Linked DNA regions of Ovis aries. The protein of the gene in region 1 binds, or shares a complex with, the protein of each later gene. Links are inferred from orthologs where the notes say so. Each region holds a gene or a part of one and is shown on either strand. Other genes may lie near its edges.

Region 1 (9,772 bases):
AGGAGGGAGAGGGTAAGGGTCAGGGTCAGGGTCAGCAGCAGGTCAGTGAGCAGCCACGGGAGGTATCCACGGCCTTACCTTCTCCCTGCACGCTGCGGGTCACCACCTGCCGGACAGGTCCCCGGAGCTGGATACGGCCAAGGTCTCTGAGAACCTGGGGCTCGCTCTCTGGGGTCAGACTGACCTTCTGGAAACCTGGGCATCTTGCTAAGGACAGGTTCACAAACTATGGCCACTCAAGGCCCACAACTCCCTGCCCATCCCTGGCCTGTGCTCAGCAAGGGAGGATACACAGTGTGTCCATGGCACTGCCCATGGGGTAGACCAGCTGCCCAGCCCCGGGAGTCCTGCCGGGCACCCAGGCCAGCGCACCCCCGGTGCAGGCATCATCCAGGAGCAGCCGCTCCCAGCGCAGGGCCAGCTCCTCGTGCAGCAGCTCTCCCAGGAGGCTCGCCACCGACGTGCTCAGGATCGGGGCCCCAAGGATGGAGAACCGGCGCTGGCGCTGGCTGAGGTAAGCCCAGGGACAGCTGGGGCGAGAGGATGGCGGGAGGGTCAGGCCGGCCCGGGGGGGCCCAGTGCAGCGGATGAGTGTTTAAATCAACCTGGAACTCCTTCCTCTGCGAGAGCACCCGACCCTGCTCCTGTGCTGCAGTCACGCGACCCAGGCCTGGGAACTCGGGAGTCGTCCTAACCACAGTGATTGGCTCACACCGGGCATGACACCCAAGCCAAGCCAAGCCAAGCCCAGCACACCCTTCCTGGGACTTCTGCTGGTGCCTCAGGAAGGCCACTAGCCCTCTCCCTGGAATCAATGGCCTCTCCCTGGAATCATAAACCACGCTGCTGCCACCTGGAAACAGTCTGCCTAGGAACTAAGCCAAGCAGAGGCAAGTGGGTGAGAAGGTGAAGGGCAAAGGCAAAGCCCTACTGACACCTGGATGCAGCCATGTCTACTCTCCATGAGCTTGCAGTCCTTCCCCCCTGCACTGCTAGCACAGCTGGGGTCTGTATGAGGAAATATGGCTCATGCTTGCACTGGGGAGGGTGGAAGCAAATGTTGATCGGAACCAGCATCCTGGCCTGGATCCTTCCAAAGCCCCACCACCAGCTAGGCCTACCCAACCCGTCCTCTCTCACTAGCCACTTGCCCCCAGGGCTGGTGTCCACCGAGGTCCTGGAGTAGCCTCTTCACACTGACCACTGTCTTCGTCTTAGAGCGGCTCTGTGTGGAAAGGCCTTGTCAAGCTCACACGCCCTAGGGCCCAGCCCAATGGGAAGTGGGGTGCCTCCCCGCTCCTGGCCAGCCAGGGTTACTCACATGTGCTCCTTCCAGTTTGAAATTCTCCAGCAGTAGCCTCCCCAGGGGTGCAAAGGCTATGTCTCCGTGGTTCCACAAGAACCGGCTGATCTGCGGGAGGAAAAGAGGCCGGGTCAGGAGGCACAGCCCCGGGCCCACGGCACTGTCCACCGGGTGGGCCCGCGCACCTGCTCAGTAACATCCAGCACGACTCGGGGATGTCTCCGGAACTGGTAGCCTCCCCGGAAAAGCAGATCTTTGGCAGTCAGGCCGGGGTCCCAGGGATCTGAGGGAAGAGGGAGGCTGGGAAGGGACTGAAGTGGAACCAGGTGTCCCAGTGCCTAGAGATGCCAAGGACCCTGCTGGGTGGAAGCAATCAGCAGGGGGCACGGAGTTGGGGGAGAGGCCTCAGGGTGGGGGCTGGGGAAGAAGCCGTGAGTGGGAACAGCTCGGGGCCCCCAGCCCGAGCTCCTTACCAGGACCAGGAGGCAGCAAGGGCAGGGGCCCAGGCGTGTCAGGCTCCCAGAGCAGGGCCTTGGCCACATGCGGCGCGCTATCCTGAGGAAACACCACCACGGCCAAAGTGCAACAGTGAGCGAGCGCCCCGGCCAGGCCCTGTCATCAGCTTTTGTCTCTTCTCAACTCCTTCAGTCCTTAGCAGGCGCCTGCCAAGCCGGTCGCTCACTGTCACTTTAATGATGAAGAGAACGGGAGGAACAGGGGGCCGTCCCTGGCCCCAGGCAGCAGCCAGAAAAGAGAAGGGCCGGGGCCTGAGCCCAGGCAGCCTGACTCTGGCCTGTGCTGCCCACATCCAGGCTGCGCTGCTCCAGAGGACCGCCCGGCCTTCACTAGCCGGCCTGGGTCTCACCCGTGCATCACGTACACTCGGGAGACCGTACAGTCACCCCCAGGCTCCCCTACTCCCCTGCAGGGCTGGCCTCAGACAACTCAGCTCCACACTCGGGATGGAAAAGGAGCAGGTGAGGCTCCTGATGGAAGCCCTTCTTGTCAAGTGAGTCCTGCAAACCTCACCCCCACCCCCGCCGCCCTTCCAGTGCCTCTCTTAAATTTCTCACCCACGTGCCTCTGCCTGGCGTAACCCTTAGCCAGCCTGTCTCCAAGTGGCAGCTGATGGCTTAGGCGTCCAGGGTAAGAGCAGGTGTCCTTCTTCTCCCAGGAGGTCTCCCCGCCCCCCTCACATTGCCCTGTGCGGCTCCAGCATCCTTTTGGTTTCGCTCAGAGCTGTCCACACTTTGAAATGATTTTATCTTCTGCCCTATTCACTTGTTAGTCCCTATTCCACCTACCTGTTCCCCAGGGGCAGGAAGCGCATCTGACTTACTCACTCTGGATCCCCAGAGCCTGATAAGGCACCTGGCACACAGTAGAGCTATTCAGTGAGTATTCGTTGAACAAACAGAGGAAGGAGAAGGCAGGGGGAGAGGGAGCCAGGAAGGAGGCTGAATCTTCTGTGGATGGTAGGGCGCCCCAGGTCCCCAAAGGATGGGATTCTGGTTGAGCCTGGGTCTTAGTAGATTTGTACCAAAGCCCCCCACCCTGCACTCCTGCCAACTGGTGTGACCTCTAGGGTGGGGGAGGGGGGTGCAAACGGGCCCTCCCCCAAGCCACCAAGGCTCTCCCTGCCATCCTCACCTGAGAGCCTTGGGGTGAGAACGCCGGCAGGGTCAGCGCGTCTCTCCAGCTGCACATGAACGACAGGTCAGGGACATCGCTCTGACCAAGGGGGCCAGTCATGAACAACGAGGGTGGGAGGGAGCTGGGGAAGTCCATCTTGAAAAACAGTAGCCACCGTCACCCTGGCCTTCCTCAGAGACCTGAACCGGACAGCGGCTTCCGGGGCTCCTGGGAGAGTGAAGAGTGTCTTAATGGGAGGATAATCTCTTTGGGGAAGCAGATAACGAAGAACAAACGAATATGTTACCGAACGCCCGAGAATAGTAGGTGCTATTCCAAAACCAAGCAACCCGCCAGGAGGGAAGGGATGGCAGGGCCTGAGGGTGTGCTTTTTAGCATCGTAGCTTCATGAAGGTGATGTTCGGCACACACAGAGCCTAATGAGAGAGACAAACATGCCAACTACGGGAGAGAGGGTACTGGGAAGAATGAACAGCAAGAACAAGAGTCCTGGGGCAGGAGTATGTGAGAAGCAACTGGGTAGCCATGGGAAAAACTAGGTGGTGAGTGATGGGGGCTGAAGTTAGAAGGTGGCTGGTGGTGATCAGCTTCCATCACGCTCTCACGTATTACATTATAATTACACAGTCCTACCTAGACGACAAGCCCCACACTCTAGGTTACACTCTAAAGACAAACTCAAGTTCCCCAAAGCCAGAGATGAGTTATTATTTGTCTGCCTTCCCACTGTCAAGTACAGTACCTTCCAACAAAAAGGAACCAACTGTGTGTTGAATAATAATGTTTATGTCAAAGGGCTTTGGTGACTGCAGCCATGAAATTCAAAGATCTCTGCTCCTTGGAAAGGGACACCATGACAAACCTAGACAGTGTATTAAAAAGCAGAGACACTTTGCCAACAAAGGTCCATATAGTCAAAATTTGTTTCTTTTCAGTAGTCATATATGGATGTGAGAGTTGGACCAAAAAGAAGCCTGAGCACTGAAGAACTGATGCTTTCAAACTGTGGTGTGGGAGAAGATTCTTCAGAGTCCCTTGGACTGCAGGTAGATCAGCCAGTCAATCCTAAAGGAAATCAACCCTGAATATTCACTGGAAGGACTGAAGCTTAAGCTCCAATACTTTGGCCATCTGATGCGAAGAGCCGCCTCATTGGAAAAGACTAAAACTGGGAAAGATTGAAGGCAGAAGGAGAAGAGGGTGGCAGAGAATGAGATGGTTAGATAGCATCACTGACTCAGTGGACGTGAACTTGAGCAAACTCCAAGAAATAGTGACAGACGGGGAAGTCTGGTGTGCTGCAGTCTGTGGGGGTCACAAAGAGTGTGAACAACAACAAAATACAAAGTGCTCAACAAGAATAAGCAGCTGGAATATCCTTTAATACACGCAAAAATAAGAGCAGTTCTCACTTACTGAGTGCCAGCATCTGCCTGACATGGTACTACAAGTTTTATTCTCCTGCCCCTCATATGGAGGTCAGGAAACAGGCTGGGAAAGAGCAACTTGCCCAAGGCCAATAGCGTGATCCTCCAGCGGCTCCAAAACCCCAGTTCTAAACCACAACTCTCTCTGCATCCAGAAGCGAGCACCAGCCTCAGAGCCTGATGATGCAAAACCTTTCCTCTTAGAGCTACCACTGCATGTATCCATTTATTTTGTAACCTCTATACCTCCAGGTACTCTGAGCACCTTGCAAAGTGCTCACCACACAGTAAATGTTGGTAGATGGTAAAGAATCTCCCTGCAATGCAGAAGATTGAGGTTTGATTCTTGGGTAGGGAAGATCCCCTGGAGAAGGGAATGGCAACCCTCTGCGGTATTCTTGCCTGGAGAATTCCATGGACAGAGGAGCCTGGAAGGTTACAGTCCATGGGGTCACAAAGAGTCGGACACAACTAAGTGACTAGCACTTTCACTTTTCAAACGAGGAACTTCCCCTGTGGTCCAGTGTCTAAGACACCTCACTCCCAATGCAGAGGGCCCAGGTTCGACTCCTGGTCGCAGAACTAGATCCCATATGCTGCAACTAAGAGTTCGAATGCCACAACTAAAGATTCTGAGTGCCACAACTAAGACCCAGTGCAGTCATGTAAATAAATAAATAATAAAAAAACTTGTCAAAAGAATGTGTTTCTCAGGGCACGAGTCAGCCTCATTCTAATTGTGGCTTATATGCTTTATCTCTTCCTCGGGACTGCTCTCTGGGACAGGAACTGTATCAGATTCATTTCTGACCTCCTGGCATCTGATTGTTGTTGTCTTTCTCCTTCATCACAGGAGAGGACAGTGGTGGGAATGCGTCTTTTCACCAGAGGACCTTTTCACACTCTCTCTCCACTAAAAATGAACACCATTGTCCTTCCTACCCACCTAAAAAATCTGCCCCCATCCTTCAGATTTTGAGTCAGGAAGCCTCTCCTGGTTCTCCCAGCCCTGTCCCACATCACCCTGCATCCCTCCTCTGGAGCACGCATTGCGATGTGTGATAAGATATTTAAAGCTAAAGCTATGTGATTCCAAACTGCTCTGAGAGTCCGCATGGGGAAGGGACTTTATCCCCGGTGCCTGCCTTATTTACTACGTGATGGATAGGAAAGCCTGGAGCACTGCATGCAGTCCATGGGCTCGCAAAGAGTCGGACACGACTGAGCAACTGAAATGAACTGAAATCAGTACGTAAAAGCTGAAGGCACAAATCCAAGAATGAGGAACTTGACAGTCTCAAACAAACGCAGGGAGGCTGAGGGAGCTGGTGGAGCCCACGACCTCAGAGAACCCCCGAGACAAGACAGCCTCGATTTCCCGCCCTCATCTCTCCCGGACTCGAATTTAGACCTCCGGAGTTTCGTCGGGTCTGCACGAACGCCGGGTGCGGCAATAGGTGCGCCTGCCCGGGGATGGGAGAGGGGATCCGGGAGGCCCTTCCCTTTAGACCTCTACTCGCCCACGTCCTCCCCATCCGTCTCCTCCCTCTCCACGTCGAGGCCCCAGAATTTCAACCCAAGAACAGCAGGCATCTCGCACCAAGCGCTGTATGCCAGACAGTTGTTGCTACGACGCTTTACAACGGCGTGATGCTCCCCGTTCCATGAGCCAGCGGCTGCTCACCACCAACTCTGCAAAGGTTGGGCGACTCGTCCCAAAGCCACACAGTTTGGAGCCTGTGGATGCGAGCACGGGGACCCGCCCCTCCGTCCCGTCGGGGCGGCGCGCGCACTTACGTAATCCCGTCGCGCCGTGCTCGTCGGGGAAACCGACCTCCGCGTGACGCTCGCTTGACCCTCGTGCCACGAGGGAGCCCCAAGGCAGAACCCTAGCTCTTGAGCCCGCAACCCGACAGCTCCACAGAAGCGATGAACCGCCTCCCCCGGCTGGGCCGGAAATGCTTCATGGAAGGCAGGAAGTCCCGCCTCCCAGCCCGGCCTAAGGGGCGCTCCAGAGCGCCACCTCCCGGGCGGAGGGAGAATGCGAGTGCAGATGGCGCCGTGGGCACTGGAAATTAAGTAAAAGTGAAAGTGAAAGTGAAGTCGCTCAGCCGTGTCCGATTCTTTGCGACCCCATGGACTGAAGCCCGCCAGGCTCCTCTGTCCATGGGATTCTCCAGGCGAGACTACTGGAGTGGGTTGCCATGCTCTCCTCCAGGGGATCTTCCTGACCCAGGGATCGTACCTGCGTCTTTTCCAACTCCTGCATTGCAGGCAGATTCTTTACCGTGAGCCACCAGGGAAGTCCTCAGAATTGTCTTTCTTGAGGTCAATCCTTGAACCGTTTGGGAGACTGAATCTACCTTGCTCCATATCTGCTCTTCCAAGTCAAATGTTAACAGGTGCTACCAACTGTTTCTCTACGCCTTAGCGTCCACATTGCCCCCGTCCTGGCTCGTGTTGTCAGATCCGAAGGTAGCAAGCAGCAGCAGCAGCAGCAACAGCAACACAACTTACAGACCATAAACTCAGTAACTGGTCACATTTTCCCGGTCACTGGCTCCTCAAGACTGTTAAAATTTTCATCTCCTTCAAGCAACCGTGCTGCATGATAGCAAGCCACATGTAAATTGTCTTCATCCTCAACTTTATTTTTGTTATTTCTCCTTCATCGCTAGACCCTCATTTTTAAGAATTGCTATCTTGACATGTTTTTACGAACCAACACAGATTCACTTCTGAGGAAAAAAAAAAAAAAAAGCGGGGGTGGGGTGGGGAGGGCAGGATATCAAATGACTAATTTTAGCTAGAGCCCACGTGGAACACTTACAGTTGGCTTCAGGAAGGCTTAAGGTGAACAGATTTTAAATGTAGGCCCTAAAGACTCTGTGAGGCTGCTACAAATGAAAACACCATCACTTACAGAATGAGCACCTCCCATCCTCCTCTAGGCTCAGCTGCTTAAGCAGCTGGGGAGGGCAGGCTGGCAAAATGGGGAGTGCAGGGCATCCTTGGACGGCAGCAGGGGTGAGGTGCTGAACTTGGGTCCCCAGACTCCTCCCCTGGTCTTTGTTTCCCGAATACCACACAAACAAGCGCAGAGAAGAAGATGATAGGACGGTCTTGTCCTCCACCCTCACCTTACACCCGGAGCCCCGCCCTTGAAATAAGGAGGTTGGCCAGGTGGCCACTTAGTCCACATCCAGGCTCAAGCTGCCTGGGAGACTAGCCTTCCCATTGGCTGGGCATACTGTCCTGCTACAGTTTTATGGGCTCTCATTGGCTACGAGTGAGGCGGGAGGCGGAGCTCACCATGCGCGGACGGTTGTACCACGTGCTCCCCACGTGGGCGCTCGCTCTGGCGTGTAAAAAGGCGCAGGTGGCGCCAGAACGTGCCTGCTGTTCCCTCCCGCCCTCGAGTCCAGCCATGGCTTCACAGGCCAGCACAGCTCTGGGCACCGACGACAGTGGCCGCAGGAAGCCCCGTCTGGCAGCATCACTGCAGATCAGCCCAGGGTCCAGCTCCTGGAGGCCCTCGGCCAGTCTGGGCCAAGAGCCTGCTCCCACCCCCAACGCAGAGAACAATGAAGCGGGCGGGCAGCTCCAGGCCTCGGCAGCAGCTGGGGATGGTGAGGCCTGGGTGGGGGCAGGGATCAGGGAGCTGGGGGGTGCTGGGCACGGGAAGGATGAGGAGGTCCCTGAGGGTCGTTGTACCACCCGCAGGGCCCGCGGGCGACTTCCCGAAGGTGACCAGACATCTGGGCCTGCAGCTCAAAGACCCGCCGCCGGGCCAGGCCGTGGCCTCGCTTACTCAGTACGCGGCCAATCTGGGTGTCTCCCTGATATTTCGAGAAAGCCAAACAGCAGGTGAGGCCCAGGGGGCTGGGATGGCAGCATGCCCTGGGCTGTTCTCAAATGAAGCCAGGAAGACTGAGTTGGGCCTGAGCCTGGGGCCCGAGGTAGGCCTGCTGTGAGCAGCATGGTGCCAGGGGCACCAGGTACCCCAGATTTCTAACTAGCAGGTGATGGGGGGCCAAATCTGAAGCTCGGGTTGGTTAAAGGACCTGCCTCAAGCTACCAGCCTTTCAGCAGGCCTTTTTGAAGGTCAGTTATATACAATTACAGTTGCCATGCCAGCATTGGAGAGGAGGTGCCTAAGTGAGGGCCCGCCCACCCCAACTCAGAGAGGTTATCAGATACAGCTTAATGATGGCAACACTGTATACAGGTGTAGTGGTTACAGTCCTCCTCCTGGAACCACCAAGATCAATACACCAGGTCCCTCCTAGATTCAGATTCCCAACTTTCAGCCAGCACATTCCCTGCTTCTAAGAACTTTTGGGAGCATTTGTAAAACTTCCTAGGAGAACCTCAAACTGAGTAACTCAAAATGAGATAATGTATTTTTAAAAAAATCTACCTGGGATTTATTTTAATCAGGTATGTTAAGACAGCAGATGTCAGAGTGCTTGTCACAAAGGGGTAAGTATGGATCCTAGAAACAGGCACAGATGGCCATGGAGGGCTGTGCAGGAAAGGATGGGGTGGCGAGGAGGGGCCAGGCACAGCCCCGGGCGTTAACTGGGTTTTCTTGGGAAAGAATGGTTGGAGCAGGGTACCTATGCAGAGTGAGATTAGGATTGATAAAAGCAAGACACTGGATAAATTTAGGGGTTATGGGGTGTTTCCTAGCTGCCTAGTACCTGGCCTCAGGGTTGATTTAGGGCATGGGGAATGTTGGCTTGTCAGAGTTCTGTGGTTGGGGTGTGAGCTCTGGATTGATCGGTTTTTATATGAAAGAGTGAGCTTGCAGAGAAGTTGTTTGCTATGTCTAGGAATTAGCTAGTCCTGGGAGGGATGGTTTCTCCAGAATTAAATCCCCAAATGCCAGAGCATCAAGAATACAGAAAATAGGGACTTCCCTTGTAGTCCAGTGACTAAGACTCTGATCTCCGTTGCCCGGATTTGATCCCTGGTTGGGAAGCTAGATCCCGCAGGCTATAATTAAGATTTCGCATGCTGCAACTAAAAAAAAAAGGAAATCAATTCAATACCAGTAATGACAGCTAACATTCATGAGTTCTGGGTGACAGACCGAGTGTTATTTGAAGGTCTTCAGACACATTAACACACTGAGTCCTCACAAGTATTCTTCAAGAAAGGCAGATACCATTACCTTTGCTTTACAGATGGGAAGACTGAGGCCAGAGAGGCTGAAACTGCCAGGGGGCAGTCTGGTTTCAGAGCCTGAGCCGAACCACTGAGTAATATTGCCACTCCCTTCCGCCTAAGGTCCCTCTTTCCACTGTCGATGTGGGTAGGCACTTTTTGTCATTTCTAGTCTTCATTTTGGTAAATTTTCGAAGAATAGTATAAAAGAGCTCCCATA
Region 2 (9,895 bases), on another chromosome or scaffold:
AGAGCCACCAGTTTACACTAAATGATCTACTAATTTTATTGCTAAATATTCTGATGTCTGTTACTCCCCAAAGCCTGAAAATTCCCCAGGGGCAGAAACCAAGTATTTAACTTTCTCTATATCTTCTCTCAATAATTATTTAAACTTCCCCCAACATTTAAGAATGTGGCAAACTGCTTTCCCTGACATGCATATGCCTTATTTCTTTCAAGATATGAATAATTCAAGAGCAGTCATTCATCCAGCCCTGCTACATTCACAGGAAATGTGAGAGTGTGCCCTCAATGTCTCCACCAGGGTTTCCAAGTGGCAACCTTCCTTGGGAAGCAGCCATGGGGTCGCAAAGAGTCAGCCACGACTCAGCGGCTGAGCACAGCACAGCACAGTTGCAACCATTCAGCCACCAGATGGGGCTAATGAGCTGGAGTGAGACTTCATCCACAAATACCCAAGAAAACATTGTTCAGCTTCTACTACTAAGCACAGGCTTCCCTTGTAGCTCAGTTGGTAAAGAATCTGCCTGCAGTTCAGGAGACCCGGGTTCGATCCCTGGGTTGGGAAGATCCCCTGGTGAAGGAAATGGCAACCCACTCCAGTATCCTTGCCTGGAAAATCTCATGGACACAGGAGCCTGGTGGGCCCCAGTCCATGGGGTCGCAAAGAGTCGGGCACAACTGAACAACTAACACTTACTAAGTGCAGGATTGCAGGCCCATAACTCAAGACAAGCTCCAGCCCTGACTGTCCAAGGGCTTACAGCAGCTGGGAAACCACCAGACAGCCTCTGAGCTCTTAATCTGAAGGAGTGCTACAGCCCCAAAGGGTTGGACAAGAGTCTTAACCTCCAAAGGAAGGCAGGACCCTGGGCCTTGTTTGGAATGCCTGCTCGACTGTCCACCCAACGCATGCCCATCTTCTAAACTTGTCACTCAAGGGACCAGTGGCATCTTTTCCAGTCTTGTGCCCCAAGCGCTTGCCATTCCTCCACCACAATCCACACATGTCTGCCTTCACTTTCCTAGTGCTATTTCTGGCACCTAGGAGACCTTCAAAACCACGTCACTTTATTCTCTTCTCTCCTTTTGTTTCTCTTGTAAAGCATCAGCCTCGTCTGCCTTGGGTTCTGAGTATTTAGAACGGGCTCCCGTTCCCTACTAGACAGTAAACATCTAGAGGACTAGGGAATTGTGTCTTTAATCCTCTTTACACCTCCAAAAGGCATGAGCACAATATCTTATTTGGTGCTGAAAGACTTTAACTTGCATACACTTTATCTGTTTAAAAAACAGATTATGAATTATTCTTCCTGCTGGGTGGCATTCAGCAGACATGAATACTACCCCTCTAGCACTCTACAAGGATGGAAATGTCCTCTATCTGTGCTACCTATCACGGTAGCCACAGAGGCTACTGGGCACGTGAAATGTGACTAAGGAGACAGAAACACTGAACTCCTATCTGCTGCTGTTGCTAAGTCGCTTCAGTCGTGTCTGACTCTGTGCAACCCCATAGATGGCAGCCCACCAGGCTCCCCCATTCCTGGGTTTCTCCAGGCAAGAACACTGGAGTGGGTTGCCATTTCCTTCTCCAATGAACTCCTATCCAGTTTTACTTAATTTAAATGGCCAAATGTAGGGAGCAGTGACCATACCTGTGGTGCAGGCCTAGAGGATCCTGACCCCAGCAACACTGAAATCATCATACGGGGTGCGGCTCTCAACTCACCCAGACCAGCAAGGGGTGCAACCAGGCTGGCAGGAGGCCTCCTGCTGCCAAGTGAGTGAAGAACAACAGTTTCCCGCCCCAATAAGACCCTCCACCGAGTGGTCACCTTCACTCCACAGATAAAGTCCAACACTGTTTGAAAACTTTGGGCAGGGAGCACACAGATTGAGCATCACCGCTCCCCTAGCATATTTATCACCCCACAACTCTGACCCCAGCTTTTCTTTCAAGCCTGTTTCCCACTCCTCTCTTCTCGAAGCACCCCTCCTTCAGGTGTCCACCATTTCCCCCAGCAGCTGGTAAGAAGTCTGAAATAGGGCTCCTTTCTGCAGCCTCTTGTTTCCCTGGGCAGGACCTGCCATGAGAGCAACAGTAACACGCCTGCCCTCTGTGTCCTCCCACTTAAGTCTCGCCAGAACAGAGGAGGAGTTCATCTGACAGGGAAGCCTGGCAGGGAAAGCCAGCAGCTGTGGCCCAGCCTCTTCAAGAGCCCTTGCTTCCTCAAAGCCACCTGTCCTCAGGGGGCTGCTTTTGGATCTGTTCTGCACGAGGCCCACGCCCTCGCAGACACGGCCTCTGACCCCTGCAATGCCTGTGGCTCATGGGTGGACATGTGAGCACCGCACATTTTGACCTGACCTGACTTGGCTACTGGCTGGCTCCCAAATCATGTTGTTCTTCAACAAGTTCCCAACTTGGGAGAGAAAGGAAGGGTTGCTAATTTCAACCCCCTACACCCCCGACCACTGCTCTGTGCTTCCACATTCCTAGTGCAGCCTCAACGTGGAGGGCTCTCTCACTCCCCTGGGCTGGCCCCAGTCTACTCAAGAACCACCTTAAGCCCAGCGGGAGCTGTGGCGGCACCCCAACTACCCAGCCCACAAGGGTCTAGGTCTGATCTTATTGCGTTCATTTTCGTTTCCCCACCTGACGGGCGGTCATCACACTCTGTACACTCACGGTTACTCTCTGCTGTTTATGTCCTATTCCCCCAACAATCTCCCCGAGAACAGGGGTCTAGCACAGCGCCTGGCACATGGGGATGGCGCCGCCTTTGTTCAGCCTGTGAGAAAGGGATGGGTCTGCTGCCAGGCCGGGCCATTATCAACAGCTCGGAGGCTCCCTGTGGCCTGACCAAAGGACACGATGGTGAGGGGGCTCATACTCACGCAATCTGAAGGGCTCGGGTGCCCAGCACGCGGGCTCGCTCATACTTGGTCATATATGGTGTGGTGATTCGTTTCTGGTTGGCCTGCGGTCGCTCTCCAGAAGGGAGAATCTCAACGTTCTCCTGGCCCTCCTGGACACAAAGGCAGAAAAGAGGGGAAAATCTCAGGCTGTATCACTGGGGGTGAGGGGCAGGACAACGACAACAGTGACTGTGAGCGCCTCCACGCTGCATGCCAGTGACCACACAACTGCCTTATTAACACCTCACCTAATCCTCACAAAAACCTTATCAAGTGGGGATTACAATGCTCATTTTAAAGGGCTGGACAGTTAGCCAACGTGGCCAAAGTCTCAGAGCTAGTGAAAGAGGAATCGTGATCAGGAGTCCAAAGCCAGCCGCCTCATCCAGCAGAGAGAGTTGGTCCCATACAAAGAAGTCCTTGAGCACAGACAACCTCACCCAAACCAAGAAGAGGAAGAAGCACCCCATCTTTACACATGTATATATTTAACAACCACTTATTAAGCATCTGTCATGTGCCAGACATGATAAAGGTGCTGAGACGGAGTCTCTGCTCGCCAAGAATTCACAGTCCAGCGAAAAGGCAAGAGTAAACAAAACATCAAGTGCTATGAAAGCGTGGCAGTGTGCCACAAACTACACAAGAAAGCGAGGGGCATCTACCTCATCCTGGGGGTTAGGAATACAGTCCAGAGATGAGACTTGGGCTAGTCTCCAAGGATGAGTACGAGCTGCCAAGCTAACAAGGAAAGAAAGAAAGGGCATTCCAGACAGGCTGAACTGCATATGTGCAAAGACACACGAGGGAAGAGAGTGTACTCAGCCTGGATGCCTAATCATGGGGTATGATAAGCCCAAAAGGTGCAAACAGGGTAGACAGGAGAATAAATTCTGTAATACAAAATTAAGCCAACAAATATTTACTGAGTGCTTACTCTTTGTCAGATAGCATTCTAAGTGCTTGACACAGAGCAGTAAGACAGATGAAAGTTCTTTCTCCCATACAGCTTTACATTATAATACAGTGAAAGTGAAAGTCACTCAGTCCTGTACGACTCCTTGTGACCCCACAGACTATACAGTTCGTGGAATTCTCCAGGCCAGAATACTGGAGTGGGCAGCCATTCCGTTCTCCAGGGGATCTTCCCAACCCAGGGATCAAACCCAGGCAGGTCTCCTGCATTGCAGGTGGATTCTTTACCAGCTGAGCCACCAGGGAAGCCCAAGAACACTGGAGTGGGTAGCCTATCCCTTCTCCAGTGGATCTTCCAACCCAGGAATACAGTGAGATGAACAATAATAAAATAAGTAGTAAAATGTGCAGTATAAAAACAGAGAGAAAAGACAGGGAGTGTCCGAGTGGTGATGTTGGAGGAAGGAGCAAATGCAGTGATTTGAAACAGAATGGTCAGGGAAGGCCTCATTGAGGTGACATGTAACACAGACCTGAAGGAGGCTGAGGAGCAGGTTGTGTGCATAACTAAGGGAAAAGGAAGAGGGAACAGCACGGTCAAAGGTCCTGAGCTGGAACTTCCCTGGCATGACAGCGATACCAAGAAGAGATAAGACCACAGAGGGAGCAGGCGGTCGGATCACGGAGGACCTTGTGCATGTTCTTGGCTTTTATTCGGAATGAGATGAGAAGTGACCAGACGCAGGTTCTGAGCAGAGGAGAGACAGAGTGACTGAAGATTTAAAAGGATCACTCTTGGATACTCTGTTAAGAACGTTCTGTAGAGGCTAAGGGCTGAAGCAGAGAGAACACTGAGCAAGACCAATAGTAACCAATCATGTGGGTAGGAGAAAAAGTCGACTCTGGCAGCAGAAAGGCAAACAGCAGACTCAAGGCAGGAAAACCGGTAACAAGTTTCTGCAGTAATGCGGATGAAAACCAATAAAGATCTAAACCAGGCTGAGGCACTAGGAATAGAGAAACGGGAACAGGACTGAACTACATGGAGGAGGCAGAATCAAGAGGAGAGAGATGGAAAGGCATCAGAAGAACCGAGAAGAAGGCTTCTGACTCAGTGAACAGATAACCTCAGAGTGTTAGGCAGACAGGAAAACCCACACAAAAGAGGGCCTTCACATTACCAATCTAAAAAAAAATCAAAGGATTCCTCTCTCCAGAAGACATAAAGCACTTCTTCCTCCACCAGTCACACAGCACAGAAGACCCTATTTTATCTATGACGCCAGTAACTCATCCACCAAGCTGCTCAAGCCAGAGACATGGGAGTCATTCCTGCCATCTCCCACTTTCTCAGCCCCACATCCAATCCACCAAAATCTCTCATCTGTTTTCTCATCACAAACACTACCAGCACCCAAGTGCAAGCTACAGATGTCACCTGGATTGCACTCTAATTGGGCTCTCTTTGACTCTTGGTTCACCCAACTCATTCCTCACTGGATCATGCCACTCCCCAGATCCCCAAAACTTATCAGCAGCTTCCCGCTACCCCTAGGCTACAAAATCTTGGCTGATCTTGGCCCTCACCTCTCCAGCCTTATCCCAGGTCACTCTCCCCCTTGCTCTTTATTCAGCCCCACCCTGCTGAGCTCCTGGTACATAATAAACATTCACCACATGTCTGCACAATGAATGAAGGGGCTATTTCAACTGAGTAAACTAACTGCCCCAGAAGTCATGCTCTGTGGTCCAAGAGACAAAAGCCTTTGGGCCAACCCTGTAGGACTCCTCCACTACCCAGGGCTAGATCTCCCCTTTCTAAGTGGCAGTACCCTGACCACAAACGGGAGGCAGAGGCATGCAGTCGGCCATCACTGGCCGGGCTATCTGGCAGCTTGGGCTGCAGAGAGGGGAGCCCAAGGCTCAGTACTGACCTCCTCGGCATTCTCCAAGTCATCGAGCCCTTCATCCTCCTCCACGTCATCAAAGTCGTCTCCATCAAAACTGAACAAGTGTAAGAAGCCCGTTAGTTAGAGCATCACTTATTAGAATCAAAGTGGGCAGAAATCTGAGTCTCATGTGATACGTAGGAGGCTCTCAATAAATATCCACCTAACCAGTGAATCATTCAATAAACCAGTCATCTGACGTCCTCATCTTAACTATGGGCCTCTTCTAGAAAGAGACCCCAGCTGAATCAACATTTGGTACAGACAGACATAGAGCCCGACTCAGTGGAAGTTTGCTGAAAGATACTTTTTCACTGATCCTCTCTGGACCCTCGAGTCGGAGCCTTTTCCGCGCCCAGCCTCTGACCGGGTCTATGCTCCTAGTTCCCAGCCTTTCCCTTCTCCGGCTCTGCGGACGCCCTCACCACCCCCAGTCCTAAACCTCTGGCTCAACTTCCTTCGACCCTGGCTCCTGCTTCATCCGCCCCTTCTGAGTCTTCGGAAAAGTCGTTTCGCTCCCTCACTCACTTGTCCTCGTTGTCTGACATGACGCCCGCGCAGCAGCCACCGGGTTCCGAGACCCAAACCCGCGCGGAGACCGGCGAACAGCGTACCTCCGCCTCGCGCGATGCCAAGAGTACTCGGCGCCTGCGCTGTGACCTAGCGGTAATCACTTCCGGGAGGCAGGCGGGGCGAGAAATAGGCACATGCGCGGAGCAGTTTGTCTGCGTTACCATGGTAGCCGGAGCCGCGCTTGCTGCAAGCTCTAGTGGCTGAGATCTCAAAAGTATTTCTGGGAGGGACCAGGCGCGGCTGCTGCTTCAGAGCCTTGGTTACGATCTCCGGAGCCCAGCCGCCGCTCTCTGTGAGGAGAGAGGCCACCCAGCCGGGGTCTTACTTTAGGGTGAGGTTTCCCGTTTGGGCGTATCACACAACGGGCACGGCTACCCTCACTCCCCTTTCCTCCCGAGGGGGCTTCCCTGCCACAGGCGCCAGGTCAGGATGAGGTCTCTGTTCGCGTGTATATATCTGCCAGTGGATCTGTTCGAGGTGGGAGGATCGGGCACTGTCGCGATGTTGACAGGCGGCATCACGATCTCTTGAGACCCTACACCCGCTCCCAAACTTTGGGTGGTGTTGAGGGTGTGAGAAGAGATTGGATCTGGGAGACCGGGAATGTTTCATTGGGTTTTTCCCTCTTCAGAGCCCTCCCATGGCTTCCCAGGAGAGGGTGGAGACGGTGACCAAAGGAACAGGGTTCTGGCGCTGTCCCAAGCCGACCACTTACACCCCAGGGACCTGCGAGCTGCTCAGAGGTCAGTGCATTAAAGGGCACAAGAAGAGCGGTGGTTACAGTTACCCTCTGTTTCTCAGTTCTCCCCTACATGACTTATGGCTTAGTAATTGTATTTTCAGTTTACAGATAAGAAGCCTGGAGTTCAGAAAGGTTCAGGCGTCCAGCTCCTACAACTTGGAAGTGACCCAAAGTCAAAGAACTAAGAATTTCAGAGTGGTTAACTCCCATGAACCCCTTAGATCACACTTTCAGTTTCCCCAGGGAAGACTTATTTGCTCTCCACCCATCATCACCACAGTGGAACCAACTGTTATGCATCTGCACACTGATGCTACTGCTACCGCTAAGTTGCGTCAGTCGTGTCCAACTCTGTGCAACCCCATAGACAGCAGCCCAACAGGCTCCTCTGTCCCTGGGATTCTCCAGGCAAGAACACTAGAGTGGGTTGCCATTTCCTTCTCCAGTGCATGAAAGTGGAAAGTGAAAGTGAAGTCGCTCAGTCGTGTCCAACTTTTAGGGACCCCATGGGCAGCAGCAGCCCAACAGGCTCCTCTGCCCATGGGATTCTCCAGGCAAGAGTACTGGAGTGGGTTGCCATTGCCTTCTCCTAATAGTCTGCACACTACCAAATACCTTTTCCTTCACTGGGCTTAGTGCAACCTGTACTCAGATACCTAGTGTGTTCCACTGAATTAACATTGAATTAACATTCAGTTCATGAACGCCATCAGGGCATGATGCCTGTTTTGGCTCACATTTGTAGCTCCAGCCCCTGGCACGTGCTCAATGAATACTTGTTCATTCACTGTTTCATTCACTCAACAAAAATAGTTTTAAAGCCCACTGTGTGCTTTAGACATTATCCCGGGTGCTGAAAACACAGCGGTAAAGAAAAGAAATAAGCAAAAATTATTGTTCCCTTGGAGCTAATATTCTAGGAGGAAAGTAACAAATAATAAATAAGGTATATAGAACTTAGATGGTGATGAGTGGTATAGGGGGAAAAATGTAGAAAAGGAAGGGAATTCCCATGTGGTCCAGTGGTTAGGGCTCAGTATTTTCAGTGCTGGGAGGCCCAGGTTCAATCCCTGTTCAAGGAACTCAAATCCCACAAGCCAAGTACGCAGGCACCCAGAATGGGAGCAGGAGGCGATACAGTATTAAGTTTCAGTGGGGTGAGATGAGGCGTCTGCTTGCAGCCCAGGAAGCCTCACCAAGGTGCTTTGTTTTGCAGTGATGATGAAGGAATCCAAACTGACTAACTTCCAACAGCGCCACATCATGGACACCATGAAACGTAAGAGGCTGACCACAGAGGCTTCCCGGGGAGAGGAATTCTGGGTCACATTTTAATGCTCTCTCCATGTTGAGGAGCAGGGGACCTAATTTTAAACACACACACACACACACACACACACACACAAACAAAATTTGAATAGTATTTCTGACCCTTGCTCTTGGGGAATTGACCTTGCAGGGTCTTGGTCTTTGCTTCTTCACAAGACATGGGTCCCAGTCCATGAGCCTCTCCCACAGTCCAGCTCTAGCCGGCCTTCCTAACAGGGCATCAGCCCATTCGGGACTTCCTGCCCAGTCAGACAGTCTGAACGCTGTCAAGTCCGCAATCTCTCCCACCCTCTTACACACATAACATATGAGCTCTCCAGACGAGAGGCCTGTGTGTGTCTTATGCATAGTTTTATTCATTCTAGCTTAGCTGGCAGAAACACGATTACTGGCAGGCTTCCAACTTAGGAAAACTATGCAAAACTTTTCCATCTTTCACCTCTGACCACACACTGTATTATTTATTTTTAAGGAAAAAAAAAAAAAACTGAAGGTAACAAGGTGCCCTCTAAGATCTTGAGAACAACCTTGCTTTCTGAGATTTAACTGAATCAGCTTTTAGGGGATCAGAACAGAGATCTGTAAAGTTACCTTTAAGAGGATACCAGAAGGTTCAAGCCTGCCAGGTTTCACGCAAATCTACCAATAGCTATTGCCTTCTTTCAAGAAAGAAGGTGCCTATCAGGAGACATCTGGTCAACCACAGAAACTGGAATGGGAGAGTCAGAGAGACAAATACTGACTGCCCAGTGCTGGCTGGGGGAGGGAGGCTCCATCAGGTCAGTTCAGAAGTCAGATCTCCTTCCTTTTTGTGGACAAGGACAACTCAGGCTGCCAGAGCCTAACACCACAACACAGCTGAGTCACATAACTCAATTTCCAAACTCAAGTCATCTACTAATCATCTGATGTCCCTTACAGATCCCCTGGAGAAGGGAATGGCAACCCACTCCAGTATTCTTGCCTGGAGAATCCCATGGACAGAGGAGCTTGGCAGACTATAGTCCATGGGTCGCATAGAGTCAGACATGACTGAGCAACTAACCCTTCCTTCCTTCCTTACAACATGACCATAAAGAGAATGTGCTAGAAATTCCATTAAAAGTAAACACCAGGAGACCAAGGATTGAGCCTGCCTTGTTCACCATTGTACCTTGACTCCTAGTGAAAGTGAAGCTGCTCAGTCGTGTCCAACTCTTTGCAACCCCATGGACTGTAGCCTATCAGGCTCCTCCGTCCATGGAATTTTCCAGGTAAGAATACTGGAGTGGGTTGCCATTTCCTTCTTCAGCAGATCTTCCCGACCCAGGGATTGAACCTGGGTCTCCCACCTTGGTAGGCAGACACGTTACCATCTGAGCCACCAGGGAAGTCCTTGACTCCGAGGTGCTGAGTATTTATTGAAAAACTAATTGGATTAGTGATTAGGTCAACACAAGTCACAGTTTGCCAGTTTTTTTTTTTCTCCTTAG

Evidence for each region.
Region 2: TAF1C (region 1) and POLR2F share a complex: the UniProt entries of both Homo sapiens proteins name them as parts of the pol I pre-initiation complex. The link is inferred for Ovis aries from reciprocal best matches to the Homo sapiens genes TAF1C and POLR2F.

The regions. Positions count from the first base shown.
Region 1 is NC_056067.1:10,016,095-10,025,866, forward strand, and holds the start of TAF1C (TATA box-binding protein-associated factor RNA polymerase I subunit C), read right to left. Parts: upstream 6,347-9,772; 5' UTR 6,181-6,346; intron 3,164-6,180; 5' UTR 3,092-3,163; coding exon 2,954-3,091; intron 1,859-2,953; coding exon 1,777-1,858; intron 1,587-1,776; coding exon 1,489-1,586; intron 1,412-1,488; coding exon 1,322-1,411; intron 1,226-1,321; coding exon 1,152-1,225; intron 531-1,151; coding exon 292-530; intron 196-291; coding exon 79-195; intron 1-78. Other genes in the region: ADAD2 (adenosine deaminase domain-containing protein 2), read left to right, coding at 7,697-8,012, 8,107-8,250. UniProt on the Homo sapiens protein: Component of the transcription factor SL1/TIF-IB complex, which is involved in the assembly of the PIC (pre-initiation complex) during RNA polymerase I-dependent transcription.
Region 2 is NC_056056.1:215,573,645-215,583,539, reverse strand, and holds the start of POLR2F (DNA-directed RNA polymerases I, II, and III subunit RPABC2), read right to left. Parts: upstream 6,423-9,895; 5' UTR 6,328-6,422; coding exon 6,308-6,327; intron 5,835-6,307; coding exon 5,765-5,834; intron 3,026-5,764; coding exon 2,895-3,025; intron 1-2,894. Other genes in the region: C3H22orf23 (UPF0193 protein EVG1), read left to right, coding at 6,993-7,095, 8,311-8,373. UniProt on the Homo sapiens protein: DNA-dependent RNA polymerase catalyzes the transcription of DNA into RNA using the four ribonucleoside triphosphates as substrates.